Rattus norvegicus: one gene and its partners. The protein of the gene in region 1 purifies or fractionates together with the protein of each later gene. This does not show direct contact. Links are inferred from orthologs where the notes say so. Each region holds a gene or a part of one and is shown on either strand. Other genes may lie near its edges.

The links. Proteins that work in one complex are often made in the same cells at the same time.
Region 2: the proteins of Capn1 (region 1) and Capns1 purify together in Homo sapiens (co-immunoprecipitation; 4 studies listed by BioGRID and IntAct, counting the BioPlex papers as one, with this or other methods). This does not show direct contact. The link is inferred for Rattus norvegicus from reciprocal best matches to the Homo sapiens genes CAPN1 and CAPNS1.
Region 3: the proteins of Capn1 (region 1) and Cast purify together in Homo sapiens (co-immunoprecipitation; 4 studies listed by BioGRID and IntAct, counting the BioPlex papers as one, with this or other methods). This does not show direct contact. The link is inferred for Rattus norvegicus from reciprocal best matches to the Homo sapiens genes CAPN1 and CAST.

What each region holds. Positions count from the first base shown.
Region 1 is NC_086019.1:212,731,739-212,739,417, forward strand, and holds the start of Capn1 (calpain-1 catalytic subunit), read right to left. Parts: upstream 4,397-7,679; 5' UTR 1-4,396. UniProt on the Homo sapiens protein: Calcium-regulated non-lysosomal thiol-protease which catalyzes limited proteolysis of substrates involved in cytoskeletal remodeling and signal transduction. Proteolytically cleaves CTBP1 at 'Asn-375', 'Gly-387' and 'His-409'.
Region 2 is NC_086019.1:94,577,285-94,583,953, forward strand, and holds the start of Capns1 (calpain small subunit 1), read right to left. Parts: upstream 4,938-6,669; 5' UTR 4,900-4,937; intron 4,001-4,899; 5' UTR 3,986-4,000; coding exon 3,771-3,985; intron 2,793-3,770; coding exon 2,759-2,792; intron 2,495-2,758; coding exon 2,405-2,494; intron 2,274-2,404; coding exon 2,216-2,273; intron 2,112-2,215; coding exon 2,047-2,111; intron 1-2,046. UniProt on the Homo sapiens protein: Regulatory subunit of the calcium-regulated non-lysosomal thiol-protease which catalyzes limited proteolysis of substrates involved in cytoskeletal remodeling and signal transduction. Essential for embryonic development.
Region 3 is NC_086020.1:5,812,050-5,818,632, forward strand, and holds the start of Cast (calpastatin), read right to left. Parts: upstream 4,938-6,583; 5' UTR 4,791-4,937; coding exon 4,716-4,790; intron 4,247-4,715; exon of another isoform or gene 4,096-4,246; coding exon of another isoform or gene 4,066-4,095; intron 1-4,065.

The sequences.
Region 1 (7,679 bases):
ACTTATATATAATAAATGAATAAATCTTAAAAAAAAAAAAAAACTAGTTATTTAAAAAAAAAAAAGGGTGGCAGGTGTCCCTTTTGGAGGGAGGGGAACAAACGTTATTGAGGATCCGTGGTGTAGTACTCTAAGGAGGGGATGTTCTGTGTGTTTGGGAGTTGGGTGCTGAGTAGGGGCAGGGACACCCCAGCAGATACAGCTCTCTTTCTCTTCTAATCCTGCTTGACCTGGTGGCCCAGAGGCTCTTACTCTTTGGAAGCCATGTGGACCCTAAGTGCCACCACCTAAGTGCTATACCCACATTCATTGTCACACCAGGCAATTAACTTGACAAGATGGCCATTGAAGGTGGTGCCAGCCTCAGCATAAAAGGTAGAATAAGGGCTGGAGAGATGGCTCAGAGGTTAAGAGCACTGTCTGCTCTCCCAGAGGTCATGAGTTCAATTCCCAGCAACCACATGGTGGCTCACAACCACCGATAATGAGATCTGGTGCCCTCTTCTGGCCTGCATGTATACATGGAGGTGGAACTCTGTGTACATAATAAATAAATCTTAAAAAAAAAAAAAAAAGGTAGAATAAGGAGTCTACTTTTAATCTGCAGGAACAAACTGGTCCTCGGGGAATGCCCTTCAGATTGATTCACTCTTTAAACAAAACAAAACAAAACAAAAAACAAGCTCTTTTACTCTACATAGCCCCAACTGTCCTGGAACTCAGTATGTAGACCAGGCTGCGTCTACCTCCTGAGTGTTGGGATCAAAGGTGTGTGCCACCACACCTGGCTCCTTACCACTTTCCTGATGTCATTGTACTCAGCAACTTAGCAGGTAGGATCCTGATACTATGGTTGGACACAGGAGGGACACCCAGTGAGCTTCCCATTCATTCAGTTCAGGGCTGGCCTTGACTGAGTCTTGGCAGTGTCAGCCTCTGCGTGATGATGCTCTGGATATCCCCATGGCCATCAGATGACAGGTTCTCAGAAAGGCTGCCCATAGTCTTCTGGGTGGGAGAAATGGCATAGACTGCAGTGGTGAAGCCCTTCTCAATGCCAGGCTAATATGGATGACCTTTACAGGGGCCGAGGTATTGGTGGTACTTGACTGACGAATTGCTGTCCATATTAAGGAAGTTCCCATTTCATGGTTCATGACTGTCACACACATGGGGAATCAACAATAGGAGCAGAGGTGATGGCCTTTTGCCCCCTCACCCCCAGCTTTCTCCAGTGTGGCAGAGGGATCAGCGGACTTCTCAGCTTCTTTAAACTCAGTGATAGAAAAAAGGAGCTCCAAGCGTGTCACCACCTGTACTCCCAGCAGCTGGAAAGCTGAAACTGGAGGATCACACGTTCAAGGCCTGCACGGGCTATAGAGGGAGTTCCTGGCAACTTGAGTCACTCACTTAGCTGGACCCTGCCTTAAAAACTTGAGCTGCAGAGGAGCATGGTGACACATTCCTGATCAGTACTTGGAGCAGAGCCAAATTCAAGGCCAATCTTGTCTACAAGTCACGTCGCAGGTCAGCCAGGGCTCTACAGTGAGACCCTAGAAGACCAGGAAGAGCTGTAGCTCAATGCTAGGCCACTTTTCTTTGCACGCAAAAAGCCCTAAGCTCAATCTCCAGGGAAGAAAGGTAGAGAAAGGAGTGAGCTGGGACTGGAGAGAGGGCTCAGCAGTTAAGAGCACTGATTGTTCTTCCAGAGGTCCTGAGTTCAATTCCCAGCAGCCACATGGTGGCTCACAACAATCTACAATGGGATCTGACATGCAGATAGGGCACTCATAAATAAAATAAATCCTTTTTTAAAAAAAAGGAGTGAGCTGAAAGCTATAGACGATGGTATTGGATCTTAAATGTATCTTGGTAAGTCAAAAGTGATTTTATTTACATGTATAAGCCGCAGTGTCCGTGTTTCTGTTCTTCTTTCTACCATGTGTGTTCGGGTATCAAACTCAGGTTGTTGAGTTTGGCATCAAGCACCTTTGCCCACTGAGCTGTCTTACACACCCTCTTGAGAAAATGGTGTCTTGAATGATTCTAGACCTTAAATTTTCTGGGAAATATGGGGGGAAAGACAAAATGAAGAGAAAAGTGGTTACCAGAAGGTGGGAAGAAAGGGCTGACTGGATGGATCGCAGTGAGTTTTCAAGGCCAGGAAGCTACAGTCATGGTGGATACAGGGCATGGCACTGTATCTGTAAACCCTTAGATCAACAACATTAAGGATGAACCTGATGGTGAACTGTGGACTTTAAGGAATAACATTGTGTCTATATTGCTTCAACCATTGTAACAAGCAGAGCACAAAAAAGGAAAATGGCAAGTTTCCTTAATTTTTAAGATACAGCCTTTTGTGTAGCTTAAACTCATCTTGAATTCATGGTTCTCTTTCAAGAGCAGCAAGACTGTGATTCAGTTCCCAGCACCCACTTGAGTACTTGAAACCATGTGTAACTCCAGTTCCAGGGATTCTGGCGCCCTCTTCTGGCCTCTGTGAGCATTGTGTGAAATGGTAAACACACACATAAGCAAACAATCATAAACATAAAATGGAAACAAATCTGTAAATAAATGGAGCTGGGAGTGTAGCTCAGTGGGGTAGAACTCTTGCCTAGCTTACACAAAGCCCTCTGTCTTAGTTAGGGTTTTATTGCTGTGAAGAGACACCGTGACCAAGGCAACTCTTTGTTTTTAAAGAGTTATTTATTTATTTCATGTATATGAGTACAGTTTTCAGAAGTACCAGAAGAGTGTATCAGAGCCCATTACAGATAGTTATAAGTCACTATGTGGTTTCTGGGAATTGAACTCAGGACCTCGGGAAGAGCAGTCAGTGTTCTTAACTACTGAGCCATCTCTCCAGTCCCCCAAGGCAATTCTTATAAAGGCAAACATTTAATTGGTACTGGCTTACAGAATCAGAGGTTCAGTCCACTATAATCATGGTGAGAAGCATGGCAGCATACAGGTTGACTTGGTGCTAGAGGAGCCAAGAGTTCTACATCTTGATCTAAAGACAGCCAGGAGGAGACTGCCCCACACTGAGCAGAGTTTGAGCACTAGGTCTCAAAGCCCACCTACACCCTTTCTCTGACAAGGCCACATCTCCTAATAGTGCCTCTTCCCATGGGCACTTCAGGATTCTGTCTCAAAAACAACAACAAAAACTAATACAGATGTGGCTCTGGGTTTGATCCTCAGCAGGAAGAATGGGGAGGAGGAAAGAAGGGACAGATGCCTTAGTTGCTTTTCTATTTCATGTTTAGATGCCATGGCCAAGCCAACTTAGACAAGAAGCAGTTATGGGGGCTGTGGTTCCAAAGGGTGAGTCCATGACTGTCCCATTGGAGAGCACAGCAGCAGGGAGGGAGGCATGGCACTGGAGCAGTGGCTGAGAATGGAATGGGCTTTTGACACTCCTCCTCCAATAGAGCCACACCTCCTAATCCTTCCCAAACAGTTCTACCAACTGGAGACCAACTATTTAAACATATAAGCCTATGGGGGCCGTTCTCATTCAAACACCCAGGAGGAAGCAGGGGATTCTGGGGAATTCACACTACTGTAGTGTTGGGTAGTGAGATGAGTACTGGATGAAAAGGGTGAGAGGGAGGGATAGCCAAGGGCCTTAAGAAAACGTTTTTTGTGGGGTGACAGATGTTTATTTCTTCGGATTATAAAAGTTTTGTGGATACATGACACATTGAAACAAGATATCCATTTTAAGTCTGTGTTGTTTGTTATGTGCCAATTATACTGCAGTAAAGCTGTTAAAACCCACAGGAACTCACTGGCAGATGGGGGAGGGGCTCTTGGGAAATGGGGATGTATCAAATGCAACTCTAGCCCTGAGTGGGCTAATGAGAGTAGGGTGGGTTGAAGTCACCATTTTACGGTAGACTCTTTTACCTATCCCAATCTTCTCCACCCCAAGCCCGTCCAAACCCCCAACGCTAGGTAGGAGAGAAAGAAGATTGAGGCAAAAGGGGGCCTCGGTTTATACACCCTCTTAAGAGTTCCCAGAATTCCAAACATAAACTATCTTCAGCTGGCAAAATCATGTCCTGCTAGAGATGCCCCTGCTTCACTGTTAACTTTCCGGGTTAGTGTAGAGCACACGGGTTAAAGGTTCCTCCACAGATAACTCTTCCCCCCTCAGATGTCATCCACAAACAGGGCACCCACGTGACTCCCTTCTGTCTGTTTAAACCGATTGTTTCTGTCAAGTTGACACACACCCAGACAACTGGGAGGAGAGTATCTTAACTAAGAAAATGCCTCCCCAAGACTCCTGCAAGTTCTAGGGGGATGAGGAGGAATAGGGAGGGAAAGCTGCCATCAGGATGTGCTGTATGAGAGGAAAATAAATTTAAAAAAAAAATTTTAAAAAGACCGTCCCATGGAATGTTGTCTTGATTGATGGTTGCTGTGGGAGGGCTCAGCTCACTGTAGGCACGTGGAGGTCAGAGGTTGACTAAACAACCGTTCTAAATCCTCTTCCACCTTCACACTGAGGGTCTCAGTCAAACACACCGCTCACCAAATGGCTGGCTAGTCTTTTTAGACAATTTGCTTTGGGGATCCCATCTCTGCCTTCCAGATCTGGAGTTGTAGGCAAGCTGCCATACCTGATCACTTTGAGAATTTAAACTCCCATCTTCTCACTTTAACTACTAAGTGATCTCTCCAGTCCCAAGATGGGCCTTTCTAAAATGAGCAGCCCTGTAACCTCATTAGCGTGACTTCCACCTGCTCTCCTTATGAATAATCCAAGGACTTCTCTGAGGGACAAATTCTATCACACACAAAATTGTGTGGATTTTAGGAGCTGTGTGTTAGGAGCAAAGTCAGAGGTCAACATATGTACACACACACACAAATATCTGATACTCACATAGGTGTCTGTTTATATTTAGTTATTTAGGGGTTTTTTTGTTGTTTTTTTAGAGGACATCATAAGAAACTCATGAGGGGCCACTGAGATGGCCCATTGGGTACACTGATGTAAAAGTCTTACAGTGTGTTTGAGTTTGAGATCTGGAGCCAATGATGGAAGGAGAGAACCAAGTCCTGAAAGTTACCCTCTGATGCACACACACACACACACACACACACACACAGAGTCATACACACACACAACCATACACACACAGTCATACACACAATAATAGATACTATTTTAGACTAAAAAAAATGGTCACTGTTGAGATGTCTAAGGTTAAGGTGAGAGGACTGACTCTTCAAGGGGGCTGGAGAGATGGCTCAGTGGTTAAGAACACTGACAGCTCTTCCAGAGGTCCTGAGCTCAACTCCCAGCAAGGGTCTGAAAAGAGCAAGAGTGTACTCATGTACATTAAATAAATAAATAAAAAAATAAAAAGCGGACTCTTCAAAATGTTCATGTGAGGTTCAGTGTATAAATAATCAGTAAGAGGCCATGCCTAGCATGCATAAGGTCCTGGGTTCAGCCCCAGTAACACACACACACACACACACACACACACTCACATACTCACACTCACATACACACACTCACACACTCACATACACATTCACACACACATTCACACACTCATACACACACTCATACACATACACACACATTCACACACACACACACACACACACACACACACGATTACACACCTGTAATCTCTGCACTTGGGAGGCTGCAGCAAAAGGATTGATGTAAACTTAAGGCCAGCCCGGGCTATACATTGAATTTTAGGCAAGTGTGTGCATAGCACAAGACCTTTGTCACAAAATAAAAGAGGAAGAAAGGGAGGGAAGAGGAGGGAAGAAGAGGGGAGAGAGCGGGGAAGGGAGGGGGAGGAGGGAGTGACAAAAACAAACTGCAGTCCTCGCCTTGGCTTCTAATGTCCCAGCCTCCAAGCTTTCTGACCTCTGATCCTCAGGAACCAGGCCTAGAACCCACCTCCAAAGTGCAGGAATTACAGCCCGGGCTGCCACACCCGCATGGGGCCATCTTCCCATGAGTGTTCAGTTTTGTTCAGTTTAAGTGTCACCCCCTCTAGGCAGCCCTCCCCTCCCCATTAACGACAAATTTACTTTTGTGGTTTGCTTTGGAGGTTCTGGGGGTTGACCCTGTGGTGCAGCAGGGCTCTACCACTGAGCTTACCCCCCCAGCAGGATGTCACTCTTCGGGTTGTCGTTATGTCTCTGGAGCAGGACCTGTGCTGTAACAGTTAAGGCAGTGTAACTGACTGCAGCCGCAGGCAGGAGCCCTGTCTCATCGGTTGGTTGGTTGGTTGGTTGGTTTTCAAACAAGGTGTCTTGTAGCCCAGGCTGTTCCTCAAGTTCACTATGTAGCCCGGGGTGGCTCTGAACCCTTGATCCTCCTGCGTCTGCCTCCTGAGCACTTGAATTACAGGTGTACATCATTTTTTTTTTTTTTTTGGTTCTTTTTTTTCGGAGCTGGGGACCGAACCCAGGGCCTTGCGCTTCCTAGGTAAGCGCTCTACCACTGAGCTAAATCCCCAGCCCCAGGTGTACATCATTTTGTCTGGCCACTGTGCCTCACTTACAAACAGTCCTGGTCCTAAAGTTATTTTTTAGATGGGCTCTAGAGCTGCTTTCCACGTGAGCTCTTCGGTAGGTTCCAGATGCCTCTGCTCATTCAATCCCCTCTACACCCATAGGAGAAGAATGTCACAGAAGGGAAACTGAGGCTCAGGATGGCAGCAACTGGCCACCAGCCAGGGGTGGGGTGGGGGCGGAGCTGGTCCTCTGCTTTTACTGCCTGATGCCTTCTGGACCCTCCCCCATCACCCGAGGCCAAGAAACCAAGCCAGGACCTGAAGTTCATCAGACTCTCGATTGTTCTTGGAGCAGACACCTGAGTGGGTGGGTTAAGAGGAAAGTGAGAGGTAGTGTCAACACTGCCAGCTTGAGGCCCACGGGCAGGAGGGCAGAAGGAGGGAAGACAGTCAGAACGTGGTTCAACCAGAAAGCAAGCAGGCAGCTCTTGATCCTGTGGAGGTCATCAGCTAGGGCTAAGTGAGGGCCGGGGAAGATGCAGATAGGGGATATGATGGGATTGCACTGGGAAACCTGCCAAGCCCACAAAGCTAGGAAGAGGCAGAGCGAGACCCAGCCCATATACCCTTCCCTTCCTCAATCCAGTATTCACTCGAACAGTTTCTGACTTCTAACTCAGAGGTGTAGGTGCCTGCCTCCAGTCCCATCTAAGGGTACAAGAACATCACCTGAGAGATTTCTGAGAGATTTCTGGTCCACTGAGAGATCATTTTGGCAGTGAGAACAATGGCCTTCAGATGGCAGGGAAGGGCCCCCCCAAAGCCCGCTGTGGTGCAGGAGCCAGTGGCTGCGCTCAGTGGGGAGGGGCTCCTGACTTGAGAGCAGCTCCTTTCACTGTGGTACTGCTGTAGCTGCAGGGCCCGGGAGTTGGCTCCTTGGCCGTGATCTGAGAAGGGCAGAGTAGACTGAACAGCAGTGGGGGCCCAGCTTCCGTGCCCTGGGTTAACCAGCCAGACCTCACCTCCTCATAGCTCATTGCAGCTCGGAAGGCCACGGAGAATCCCTATTGCTCAAGAACTCCCCCACTAGGGAACACCACGCTTCTCCAGGGACCCAGGAGGGAGACTTCAAGTTTAGGCTTCTCCACATCCTCCATGTCATTTGCAAGGAAC
Region 2 (6,669 bases), about 120 Mb from region 1:
ATTCAACACTAGAGCATGTCACCAGAGATATGCTTTTAATTATTTGGGGTTTTTCATTTGTTTAACACAAAGTTTGGGCTGGATATGTTGTCACACACCTTTCATCCCAACACCCAGTAGGCAAAGGCAAGCAGATACCTGTGAGTTTGAAACCAGCTTGGCCCACACAGTGAATTCCAGGCCAGCTAGAGTTACACAGTAAGACCCCCCCTTTCTTGGATAGGGTCTTATGTGGTAATCCCAGCACTGAGGAGACAGAGGAAGAAGCATTGGGAGTTTCATGGTAACTTGAGTATACAGAGTATACAGAAAGATCTTACCCCAAAAGACAAAACAAGGTTGGGCTGGGTCTGGTGGTGCAGGCCTTCAGCCCATAGCAGGTAAAAGCAGGCAGAACTCTTGTGCTTTGAAAGACAGCTTGGGGGCTAGAGAGCTGGCCCAGTGGTTAATTGTACTTGCTGGTCTTCCAGAGGACCTGGGTTCAAATCCCAGCACCTAGATGGCAGCTTACAACTGTCTATAACTCCAAGATCTGACACCCTCACACAGACATACATACAGGCAAAGCACCAATACACACAAAATAAAAATAAATTAAAAATAAAAGAAGTTTTAGCTGGGCAGTGGTGGCACTCATCTTTGATCCCACAGAGCCTTGGGGTGGGGGTGGGGCGTAGGAGCTAAGGAGATAGTGAGTAAAGTGTGCTAGATGTATGTGTACACACTCAGGATTCAATACTGCCTGGCCCATGTGCAAATGTTTATGTGAGTTTCTGTACACATTCCTCCATATCCTATACATGTAGTTATGTTCTTGGGATGTATATATGTGAACATATGTACCATGCATGTAGTTATGCCCCTTGAGATAGATATAGATATGGATATGGATATAGATATATAGACTGGAGAGATTAACAGAATAGGTTGCTCTTGAAGAAAGGACCTGGGTTCGATTCCTAGCACCCACATGGCAGCTCATAACTGTCTGTAACACACTTTTTTTTTCGGGGCTGGGGACCGACCCAGGGCCTTGCGCTTGCTAGGCAAGTGCTCTACTACTGAGCTAAATCCCCAACCCCCCTGTAACACACTCTTGAGAGGTTTGATACCCTCTTTTGTCCTCTTCCAACACCAGACATGTATCAGGTGCACATAATTACATTCAGACAAAACACCCAGACACATAAAATAAGTACACCTAAAACTGATAATCTCATGATGGTGGCACACTCCTTTAATTCTGTAACTTGGGAGGCAAAGGTGGGCAGATCTCGGAGTTCGAGGCCAGCCAGGTCTACAGAGTGAATTCCAGGCCGGCCAAGGCAGAGAAACCCGGTCTCAAAAACCAATCAATCAATCAATATCATTTAAAAGTAAATAGAGAAATAAAAGCAGCTTAGATTCTCAAATCGAAACTCCCAAGTCCAAATTCCTAACCTGCCATGTATTCTCCAAATGATTGGTTCTGTTATCTAAGTCTCGAGTAGCCCCAAGATTAGCTTCCAAGATCAGATATTCAAGTCCAGTGAGTTCTGGGTGGGTTGGCCAGAGACAAAACCACTGTGTCTCTCTGAAACTTGTCACCCAATCACCAGCAAGGTGTGCAGAACTGAAGACTTGGCTGCCCTCTGATGAATGGATATTTGATTGTCCCATCCCTTGCTGTTCCAGCTATTCTGCGGGCCCCCAGTCTGTGTGTGTGTGTCCAGGGCCAGAGGGCCACCACTAAGGAGAAACTGCCTTGGATTGAGTTCCCAAATTAAAATCAATGCACCAGGGTGCAATTTTAATTAAAAAAAAAAAAAAAAAAAAAAAAAAAACCACTGTGTCTCTCTGACCCTGTTTCCTTTCCTATTACATTGTCCTTATCTAACAAGGTATCTGTAAAGGTTGGGTCTCCTAATCCAGGTAAAGTTCTGGTGGTGTCATGTAGGTAGGCCTGTGTCCTCAGGTATGAAGGCTTCACCTCGTCTGTCCTCAACATACTCCCAGAAAACACCCTCTTCACCCAAGACATCCTCCAGACTGGCCCCAAAAGGATACATCCATAACAGCCACCATGCTCCGACAAGTGTCAATGCCGAACCCATCAGTTTTCAGATCTGGGTCTGAGGGGGGTTAGATGGGTGGACAGGTTGAAGGTCAGAGGTCAAAGATCATCCCAGCCCATACGCCTCTACACCTTCATCACTCCCTGACCCTGGTCACTTACGTCGGGTCACGACCTTGTTGAGGATATTCATGAGTTCTGTAGCGCTGACCTCCATGTCCTGATGGCAGAAGTTAAGTATGGTTCAAGGGAGATGGAAAGAGGTCTGGATACCATAAAACAAAACGGGGTGGGAACTTCCGGTTTTTCACAGTCAGGTAACACCGTGGAGCAGCCACGCAGTATACTTACGTCTCCAGCCAGCTGGACAAAAAGTTTCCTGAACTGACGTTCCTCTTCACTCTCGTTGGCCTCAATATTAGAGTAATGGCTACGTGGGGGCTGCAGAGAGAAGCGATTTCAGAACAGACGTGGAGAAACACGTCTCTCTCCTCATACCCAAGATCCCAGGGAAAAGTCAGGGAGGGGTGGGCAGTTTGAGGTGAGTGTAGCAAGTAGCGTGGCTGAGACAATAGGGGCCCTCAAAAAGGACATTCTTGCCGGCAGGGGAATTTTCCAAGGAAGGAAGGGGAGCCTTATACATAGGAATGGGTAAGATAATGCGGGCAACAGGCCTAGGGAGGAAGGGTCTCTAGGGCCGCTTACCGGGGGCTCCGGGTTGTACTGCGCAGCAGCCTCGCTGAGGGGAGACAAGGGTGAGTTAGCGCATGGGGGCAGAGCCTCCAACGGGCGGCAGAACGGTCAGTCAACCCCTCAAACTCCAGCCCTCCTCTTCCTTAAGGGGTCCCTCCTCCTCTCGTCTATCTCGTCGTTCTCACCTGGCCCAATCAACAGCTTTCTGCGGCTCCTCCTTTTCCTCCATCAGGCCAACCCCTCCCACCTCCCAAGGGCCCACCCCACGGAAGAATCCTTACCTTGCCCCAGGAACACCCACCAATCACAATGTCAGAAGCATCTTAGCCCCAATCAAAATCCCGAAAACCCACCAAACTTAACAGGGCCCGCCCCTTGAAGAACTCGCTTCTTAAGGGGTCGGTCTGCACCAGTTTCCCCTATGCCTCTATCTTCCTCAGGTCAGGTCTTTGTCCAGAGCCTGACTCCATCGCTCCTTTTGCAGATTATCTAGCTTCCCAACCTCTCCCCCATCAACACCTACTCCTCCCAGGAATCACTGCTTGGATCGCCAAAGATAATCAGGTGTCAGTCACCTGCTCTTACCCCAGCTAGGATTTTTATCCACCAACCCAATCAGCTCCCGACCCCACACAACCTTCTCTGGACCATTTCTTCTTTCGGGGGTTCTGATCTCTCCTATAACAGCAAGCTCCACTTAGGTCAAATCTTAAATCATGGAGCAACTTCAGATCCACTGGCTCCGCCCCCAGTGAAGACTGGATACAGTCTTATAGGATCATACCTTCCCCAAACACAGAAGAGTACCTCCTCCCCACCCCCAAGAAACTGCATCCTATTTATTGACCCACAGAAGCAAGTTTACTAACCCAGTTTTTAAAAAGTGACACCAGTCTCGTTGGGATCCCCTTAGGGCCACTTTTCCAGTTTGGACCAGCCCAACCTAATTAGGATTCCCATGTCGGACCTCTAAGTGAGCTTCTTTATAATTTGGCCCACCCTGCCCCTTTAGGCCCCGCCTTACCTGATGGCGCTAATGACTCCGCCCAGGATACGCATGGCTGTTCCACCGCCTCCGCCACCTCCTCCCAGTCCCATGCCGCCACCGCCGCCTCCACCGCCGCCGCCTCCAGCAGCTCCGCTGATCAGGCCTCCGAGCACATTGCCCAGGCCCCCGCCCAGACCCCCGCCTCCCCCACCGCCACCGCCGCCCTTCAAGAACGAATTCACCAAGAACATGTTTGCAGCAGAGTCCTGTAAAGAAAAGGGGGTGGGTCAGGTAGTCGTCTTGCCAAGAACCCAGCCCTTCCCGCAAAAAGAAAAAAAAAGAAAGCATTTCCGGCAATTAGATTGGGGACAGAACAGAGGCCTCGGGATGGGGGCAGAATCTGGACAGGTGACAGGAAGGTGCGAAACCTCCTAGGGTCTAGCAGGTACCCTGGCCCAGGCTTGACTGCAAACGTGGTCAATGAGGACAGGGGTAGAGCTGGACGAGCGTGGTGGCGCTCAACTGTAATCCCAGAAATTGGGAGGCTGAGGCTGGAGGATCAGTTCAAGGCCAACCTCGGCTACAGCGCCAGCCTGGATTACCCCTGTCTTGAGGCAGCGGGGAAACAGGGGATTCCCCATGTAAGGACCCCCACTCCCCAGTTGGGTAAGGTATACCGGACGTGTCTCAGATCCAGGCCTTCCAGAATTGAGCTCAGGGTAGGGGTGACCCAGGGCTGAGTCCAGGAAGTCCCTAATGTGGATTAGGACATTCAGGTAGTTTCGACAGAGGAACTACACTGTCATTAGGGATCTGTGGGACTCCGGCCTAAAATTATGGCTGTGCGCCCGGAGGATCCCGGATAACGGAGTTCTACACACCGCAAATTGGAACCAGGATCTCGGATCGTGGTTCTAGACGCCCCAGATAATTTATGGGTGCCTCTCTGATCTTTGGGGTTATATTTTTGATCCTGAGTTCCGGGATGGCAAGGAGTGCTCTGGAGGGAATGACCAGCGTCTGACAGGCCTGGTTGTTCGGATCTGAGAACACGGGTCCTAAGACCCCCAAGGCCACGACTTTAGGGTCTCGCCAGATCTGAGGACAGCGGATCCCGGGCAGCGGGGTGCAGGGGTGCTGGACTGAAGCGCCCCGTCTCACTTACGGATCCGGCGGTCCGCGGTCTTGCTCGCCCGCCGCTGGGCCTCCCGCTGTGTCCGGCTCTGGAGGGCGGGGCCGGTGACTCAGGCAGCTCCGGGTTAAAGCCGGCTCGCCACCCAGCCGCGGTCCGCGCGGTCCTAGAGCCGCCATTGCAGACTGCGCCTGCGCAGGAGGCCCCGCCCTACGTAGCGGGCTATGATTGTGTCTCTACCTAGCTCAGCCCTCCCCGTACACACACTGCTGGTAATTCAACGCTCTCCAGATTTAATAGCTATGAGTACGAGTAGACCATTCTAACGCCCAGGCACTGGAGCCTCCAGGAACTAGATCCAGGCTACCTGGTCACCTTTGCAGTATATAGTTGCAAAAAAGGACTTCAGTTATTGTCATTCATTCATTCATCGTGCACTTTGAGATAGAGTTTTGTTCAACACCCTAAGCTGATCTAAAGCCCTGGCTCACCTCAAACTCGAAGCAATCCTCCTGCTTCTGCTTCTCCAATGCTAGGACTCTAAATCTTTAGTTTACCTTCAGTTTGTGCCTCCCACCCAGGTCGCCTTTTGGCTTCTAGTCTGGCTGTCTGGCCGCTCCGTTGGGACTATGTAAACCTTGGTTTGAGCCTGTATTGCTCATCCCTAAAACAGTGACCTGGTGTCTCTGAGTAATGATTTCCTCATCTGTAAGGAGGGAACACAGCCAGGCGTGATGACGCACACCTGTAACACCAGCCCTTGGAGGTGGGGGCGGCTACATGAGACCCTCGAGGACGTTAGACACAGGTTCCCCTGGATGAGCCCCAGAATTAAGTGATAAATACAGGGAAAATGGCAGCTCTCCTGTTAGTCCCCAGGTCACCATATTGTTCCCTCAGCTAGGAGCTCACCCCGATCCCTCAGCTCATTTACTCTTGCCCATCCTTAAGCAATATCGACAAGTAACTGCCAGTTCCTCCGTGCTCTGCGCTCACCAGGTTGTGTGCCCTCGCGGCAGGACTGTGGGACAGACGCTGTTATTGTCCCCATTCTATATATAGGTAAACTGAGGTTAAACAACCAGTCTGCCTTACCTGTTCAAAGAATCTCCAATAATTTAATGTGATCATCAGTCAAATAAGATCTCAACGGACAAAATTGCAATGGCACTAACACCACCTAAGGGCTTGCTGGGAGCAAGCCAGGTTAATTGTTGCTCAGGCCTGTGTGTGTGGGAAGCAAGACTTAACCTTAGCGAAACTGGAAGCTCTGAAAGGCGGGATCACAGAGGGTGGTGACCCAGATCTAAGCCAGAGCGGATAAATGATTTGGTGATGACTAATGTGGATTCCCTCTCTGCCACACCCCTCTGCCACACCCCTCTGCCACACCCCTCTGCCACACTAAGCAGTCTGACCTCAGGCTCAACTCACTGGCACAAGCCCTGCCCTCTGCCTACAAATACTCCTGTGTTTGGATTTGACTGTCTGTGTCCTCCGCTTTGGATGGGAGCTCAGGCGTCTCTCACTTGGGAAGTCCTCTTTGTCCTCACCTTCACCCAGGACTCGGTGAGGCTACCAGCTTGGTGCCCTCAGAACATCAGTAAACGGGATGATACTTGCCCAGGGCCCAGAAGACTAAGGCAGGTGAGCTACACCACAGGGCCCTATCTCAAAACAATTTAAAAATGCTTCAGGGAGCCTATCGCAGACTGCCTTTGATACCAGTAGTCTGGGGGCTGAGGCAGGCTGAACTCTTGAGTCTGAGGCCAGCCTGGTCTACACAGTGAGTTCCAGAGAACA
Region 3 (6,583 bases), on another chromosome or scaffold:
TGTGCTTGTCTCACCCCAGATTACACCAGAGAGGGGAAAAACACACAGAGAATGAAAATCCATTCTTTTCAACATCATACAACTTGGCTATATGTGTAACTTAAACTGACAATTTACACTCATTTAAATCCTTTGTGTGGAAGTGGGATCTGGAGATACACTGACACAATGTTGATCATTAATGATGCCAGTTGATTTGTGGGTGCTAATTATGCCATTTTTCTTCTGCTCATATGGAAAGTTTTACTACAAAAAAGTTTTGAAAATTTTAAGTGACTGTTATCTCAAGAGTGTTTGGCTAGAGTCACTTAAAGGTAAAATCATAGCTGTTCTAGTTTTAAAACTGAAAAGTGTCAAAACTCACAGAAAAGGCTACTAGGGTTTATTAACCATGAAAAAGAAAAATCAGTGAGTGTCCCCTACAATCTAGATGTCATGGAGACAAAATAAATATTATAAGAGAATATGGACAATGAGATTCTCTGTAGGAAAAGGCACTTGGTGCCAAACAAAGCCTGACAGCTGAATTTGACTCCTGGAACCCACGTCGCAGGTAGGAGAGGACTGTGTGCACCAGCTGTTCTCTGATCTCCACATGTACATTGTGGCATACTGACTGCCCTCCACCCCCACACCAAAACACACACACACACACACACACACACACACACACACACACACACACCCCGACTGAATTAACTGGTTCTCCATCTCCACTGGATGGAACAGTTTTAAAATGTTTTCTTAACTGATGAGACTCTTTTCCAATTCACGGTAGTCACAGTCTTAATAAGTTTTCATAAAAGGAAAATGAAACAACTTGAAGAACAGAACTTTACTGCCATGCTAATAAGATTTAGATCTTGAAAGTATTCCAAAGTGAGAAAATGGAAGTCTGACTGAGACACCCTGCTGATGCTGAAATAACCTGCTTAGAACTAACTACCAGTTGTCTGTCCACCTTGGACTCTCAATGACTACCCTTTGTTTCCAACCCAACCACTTGAATAATATAATTAACTTTCTAAGAAGGTTTAAAACTGATTAAAGAGCAATATCATCATATGTTACTCATTTTAAAAAACTTTTATGCAATGGAAAAATATTCCATTCAGGGACTGCCAATCAAAAAATTGTGACCTTTGACCTCTTCATTCTTGCTGCCTTAAATACTATACTACAGCCTTTATGCAGACCTCATAATTTTGCCTCCACCCTTGCCCCCGGAAAATCTATTGCAACCAAGTTGTCTGTTTTGCCATGGGTAGTCTGCAACACTTTGGCCAGTCTAGCTGCAATGGTGGAGCCTTCCAAATGACTGAGTACCTTGATTATGCTCTCACTGGGGCTATAAATCTAAATAAACTAAAAAACACCTTTAATTATCACAAGGTAACAGAATCAAGATATGAGTCAGGAATCTAATTATTTATGTAAGCCAAGTATACTGAGTTCTGATAATTATGATGTTCATCAGATATTCTCTAAATGTAGCTTTTTAACAAATTTTATAAAGTTGGTTTTTACTACAATCAAAAATATTCAGATGGTAATCAGTGTGAAAATGTACAATATTATGTTTCCTTGGTTGGCTTTACAAGTAGCATGCTCTTAAATGAACATATCTTTGCATTACTCTACTTTTATTCTGTATAAAGTTAGATCACTCATATTATTTTTAGTATTTAAAGAATCTTACTAAGGATACTAAGGATATTCTAATTATAGGACTCACTAGAAGTATTCTACAAGGATGTGTGTGCGGTGTGTGTAGAATTCCATTGGTATCTTTCGGAAACTGGTTTTAGAAATGTTTTGAGAAATCAAATCCTGCAGATGCTCAAATGGCTTGTATGAAATAGCATGTTCACATCTAAACTATTCACTGTCTTCCTGTGCTCTATGATACCCAATATTAAGGCATATCCACATTTTTATATTATATTGCTTGGGGAATAATGACAAAAGAAATTGATACATGTTCAATGAAGATTCAATTTTTAAAAATTATTTTTGATTGGTGGCTGAATATGTGATAAAAGGGTTTAACAGCACACTTTTATTCATAGGCACATAAACAAAACTACTTAATATATACATTGCACATATGAAAATATGTACACATATTTTATATATGCACAGAATATAAGAACATATGCATTTATATGTATCTATATGTTAAAATTGGCATTGGAGAAAGATTTGTGCAGACTTTGCATGCCTTGAAGAGGCAAATTATATATGTATATTGTTGAGAGAAAGTACTATATTTCATTCTCAAAATGAAATGTAAAAAACACAAACAAACAAACAAACAACAACAATAAAAACAAAAGAAGATTAGGAACAAGCCACTTAGAGCTTTCCTGCCTGTGTTATTTCACTAGCCACAGTGGCAAGTGAAACTCTGAAATATGGGAATTGGGAGATACTGTGAGTATAACATAACTGCACAGCCAGATTTTTGAGTAATTAGCACAAAAAGAGGTGACTTGTCATTTTTAGCACATGATTACATACTTAAATGTCACCTAGGATAGAGCCAGTTAACAAAAATGTTATTAACATACTTGACTTCTTAAAATATTTTTGTTAATGGGACTGTTACAAATTTTTAAAGCCCTTTTGGGTATCATAGTACTTTTCTGCTGGAGAAAAGTCAAAACTTGATCACAAGCATGCTGAAAGTTCTAGAAAGTTAGCACAAGCAGAAGTCTTAAATAATAATCCCCAAACTGGCTTGTAGTGGAATTTGGGCAAAAATATCAAAGTGTCTCACACAGTGCAGTAGGTATTAAAAGCAAAGATCTAAGCTATCTTCATCTAAGTAGCTGGCACAATTTCCTTTAGACAACGCCAAGCTTGGACAGAGAAATCTGATGTTAGTTGAACACCTGCCACCCATATTTGCAGATAATTTAATGGGTGCATTTTGATAAGAATTCTGGGACAATCATGACTCAATGCAAACATACGCTCTCAGCAAATTAATAAAACTATACATTTAAACAGCACAGAAAAGTGTAAGGGAGAACATTCATGAAGAAACATCACTGAAAACACATATGTGGCATGTCTACTGCTGAATAGTCCTTATGTAAATATTTGGTATTTGACAGATATGAAAACATAAAGACTCACACATTGAAATCATTGCCACTTGAGTTAAGAACTCTACAGTGCACTTGAAGGCTAGCACACTTAGATGATCAATCAGTTCTCAATGCCTATTTTCTAATTCTAACCCAAAGTTTGTAGATGCAAAGATTATCTGATTACTGCATCTTTACTTTGTCCATACCACCTCCTGAGAAGGTGGACCTAAGATTTTGAAATTCTCACCATAAATCACCTCATGACTCTCTGTCAACAAAGGGTTGGAAACTTTTGTTTTTGTTGTTGTTTTTTCTTTTTTAAATGTAATGTAAAAACCATGCTTCCTGGTTTCAAAACATTACAAGTTCCAGTTTGACTGGGTATAACACATACTTGGTAGGACAGACTAACCACTAACCAAATGGAACACGTTTGTCCTCTTGCAAAGTAATACAGAGTAGTGACATATACTCATTTCTCTCTCTCTCCCCCATCCCCCTTCCCGCCAGAGTATTAATTGATCACAATTGTTCTCTGATCTTTTCTTCTTTTCCATTCCCCATCCTCCTCTTTCGAGTTTGAAACTGCTTCACCCACCATTCTTTGTAAGTTTTTATCTTTACTTAGCAGTCGAAAAACTAAACCTGGGCTTCAGTGCTTCTTTTCTATGTATCCAGGTAAGTGTTTCAAAGGGCAGAAATTAAGGATTGCTGTCCATTCAATTTGGGAATGCGAGCTGAGCCTGGTGCACCTCGCTGCCCAGACTGTACCGCCCAGTATGCGTCCGCATACCACGGAAGGGAGAGCCTCCAGCTTCTGCCCGAGCTTAACCAGAAGGTCTGCAAGGAGTTCTCACCCGGTCTCACCCTTGGCCCTCCAACTTCATGCCATATTTCCTCAACCTGCCAGTGGGGCGAGGTAAATACACTCCCTTCCCAGTGCTGCCCAAGCTCGGTCCCTTCTATTTACCGTCTTGTACCACCAGTTTGCGAATGCCATGGCGACAACCCTGACGTGCTCCGAGCCGCGCTGCTGGGAAGCTGTCCAGGACGAAGAGTGAGGTGCTGGTGGCACCACTACGACTCTCTGCCTGGCTGGGACCTTTCTGACAGGGCACAGGGTGTTACGCAGCTGCCCGGTGGGAGGGCACAAGGGAAAGGAGCGATAGGACCCGCCCACAGCTAGCGTGGTCCCGCCCTGTCCGATCTGGCTAATTAGGAAAGAGGTGTGTGTCAGTTCTTCAGCCGCCACTCCCTACATGGAAAGTGTGTGAGGGTGGGGGTGGGGGGTGACTTCACATGGAGGGCAGAGGCCCTCTGCCGTGCCGTACGAGCCCACTCACTCCGAAAGTCCGGAGTATACTTTATTCTGCTTCCATGCCTTGTGCACTGCCTTGGTCTCACTAGCCCGTGTTGCTCCAAGAGCCCCTCCACCCAACTCGTGACACTACCAAATTTAAAGAGCCTGGGGCCACCTGCTTGCCCGCAGTCACAGAGCTCTGATCCTTTTCCTATCTGGAAGGTGCCAAGGAGGGGCAACGCCCCAGAACTGCTGCGAGGCACTCCTGGACTACGGCCCCCTGCCGCTTGCCCCGCGGCTCGGTTCGGAGTACTACTCACCTCCTGGGTGTGGCTAGCTGCCGCCCCGCGCCGGGGCCTGGAAGAGGCGGCGGGCTTCGGGCCGGGCCGGGACATTATTTGGTGAAACTGCTGCGAGTGCAGCCTCTGGGAAAGCGCAGAGAAATTGTACGGGAGGCCCAGGCCAGAGCTCGGGGCGGTGGAGCGGAACGGCGCAGTGAGGCAGCTTTTCCGACCCAGCCCTGAGCCCGGGCCAGCTCCCCCTCGCCCGGTTAGGCCCTCCTCTTCCTGTGGGCCGCTCACTGCCCAATTTGTCAGCAACCCTGAACTGCAGTTTAACGCCCTCTGCTCAGGGTTCGTACACAAGACCCTCCCCAGACTGGCCCCAAAACTGCAGGGTTCTCAGTGGATCACAAATTGGGGAAGCTGGAGGTTGCAGTTCCCGGGTGGACTTGTCCAGACCAATCTAGACATTGTGTAACCAGAGAGCTAAACTGGGGCGTGGTCTAGACTTCCTTTCCTAAGAATTTGGAGAATTAGACACTTTTCTGCAATCTGTCACTAATTCAACTCTAGCCTAAATCCGAACTAAAGATAAGAGAAAGGATCTTGAGAAGAAATTGGTCTCTCAGTGTTTGTGTACTTCTGAGTGTGCTATGTCCTGTATTTGATTATTTATATAGGCAATTCTGTAAGTGTACTAATGGTTTACAAGCAGAAGCTAGCCTGCCTGCTCTAATCCAAATCAGCAGACAATCACGGACTTTAAAGTCATCTCCTTTTCTGGAGCCTACATTTCTGATGTTGAATTGCTTTTGACTTGGCTTCATTTTAGGCAGTACTTCCTGGTTTGGGGCTGGAAGTGAAATTTAACAATCTTTTTGAGTACTCATCCAAAGGGTTTGTCAGCCTGCAGATACTGCTGACTAGTGCCAGCCACAAAAAAAGCCTGTGCCACCACAATAGCATTGTGATTTGTGGTTTTTCGTCAACATGCTAGAGAGCTAGGTTTTAGACAGATGACAAGAGAGAAGCCCCATTACAGAGCAAGATTTGCCATGCTATAAGGAGCTTGGCAGAACAGAATTATGGTTGTCCAGTGCCCCTTCAATTTTAGGGATATCTCTCAACTTCTCACAAATTAATTAGCAATGTTCTTGGATTTTATGCATTTCTTCGTGAAGTGCTCTATGTATAATGTCACCAATATTTCAAAAGATAGGTAGCAGTGCAAGAATGCATACATAAATTGAAACATTTTGGTGTACAAACTGTCATTAGCAAAGATTGGTTGGTGGCATGCATCATTTACATCCAAAATAGGGAAAATCGTTAGACTGAAAAAAAAAAGTCTTATGTTTTTCAGCAGAATATTTAAAAATTGAATTTAAACCAGTTAATTTTGCATTCATTGAGAGTCTTCTATGTAAAGCCCTATGGGAGGAATAGTAGAGAGAAGGATATGCAAAGACTAAACTTGGGACTCCCCTGGGACCCAGGAACTTACAAGTTATTTGGATTTAGTTGGTGATTGATTGGGTGGCAATGGGAAATATACAGTATGTAAATAAAGACAAATGTGCTTCTGGAATGTGGTGTTTCATGGGTACTGTTGATTATAGACAAGAAAAGAGAAATGTAGAGGGTGTTGGTACAGTGTGGACAGGAAGAGAAGAGACACTGCAGGAAATAAAGGGAACACTCTCATCTTTTTGTCTTATGAAGCTGAGGGTCTCCGTTCAGATCAACAGATCTATTTGGCATTCTATAACTTACTGACTACAATTTGCCACAAGTTATGAAAATCCATAAAGCTTAACAATGCTATTTCTCAGGTTTTGCTTGACTCAGTATTTAAGTCAAACACTGTTTCCCAGCACATTAATGGCTATGAGTAAAAACTAATGTCA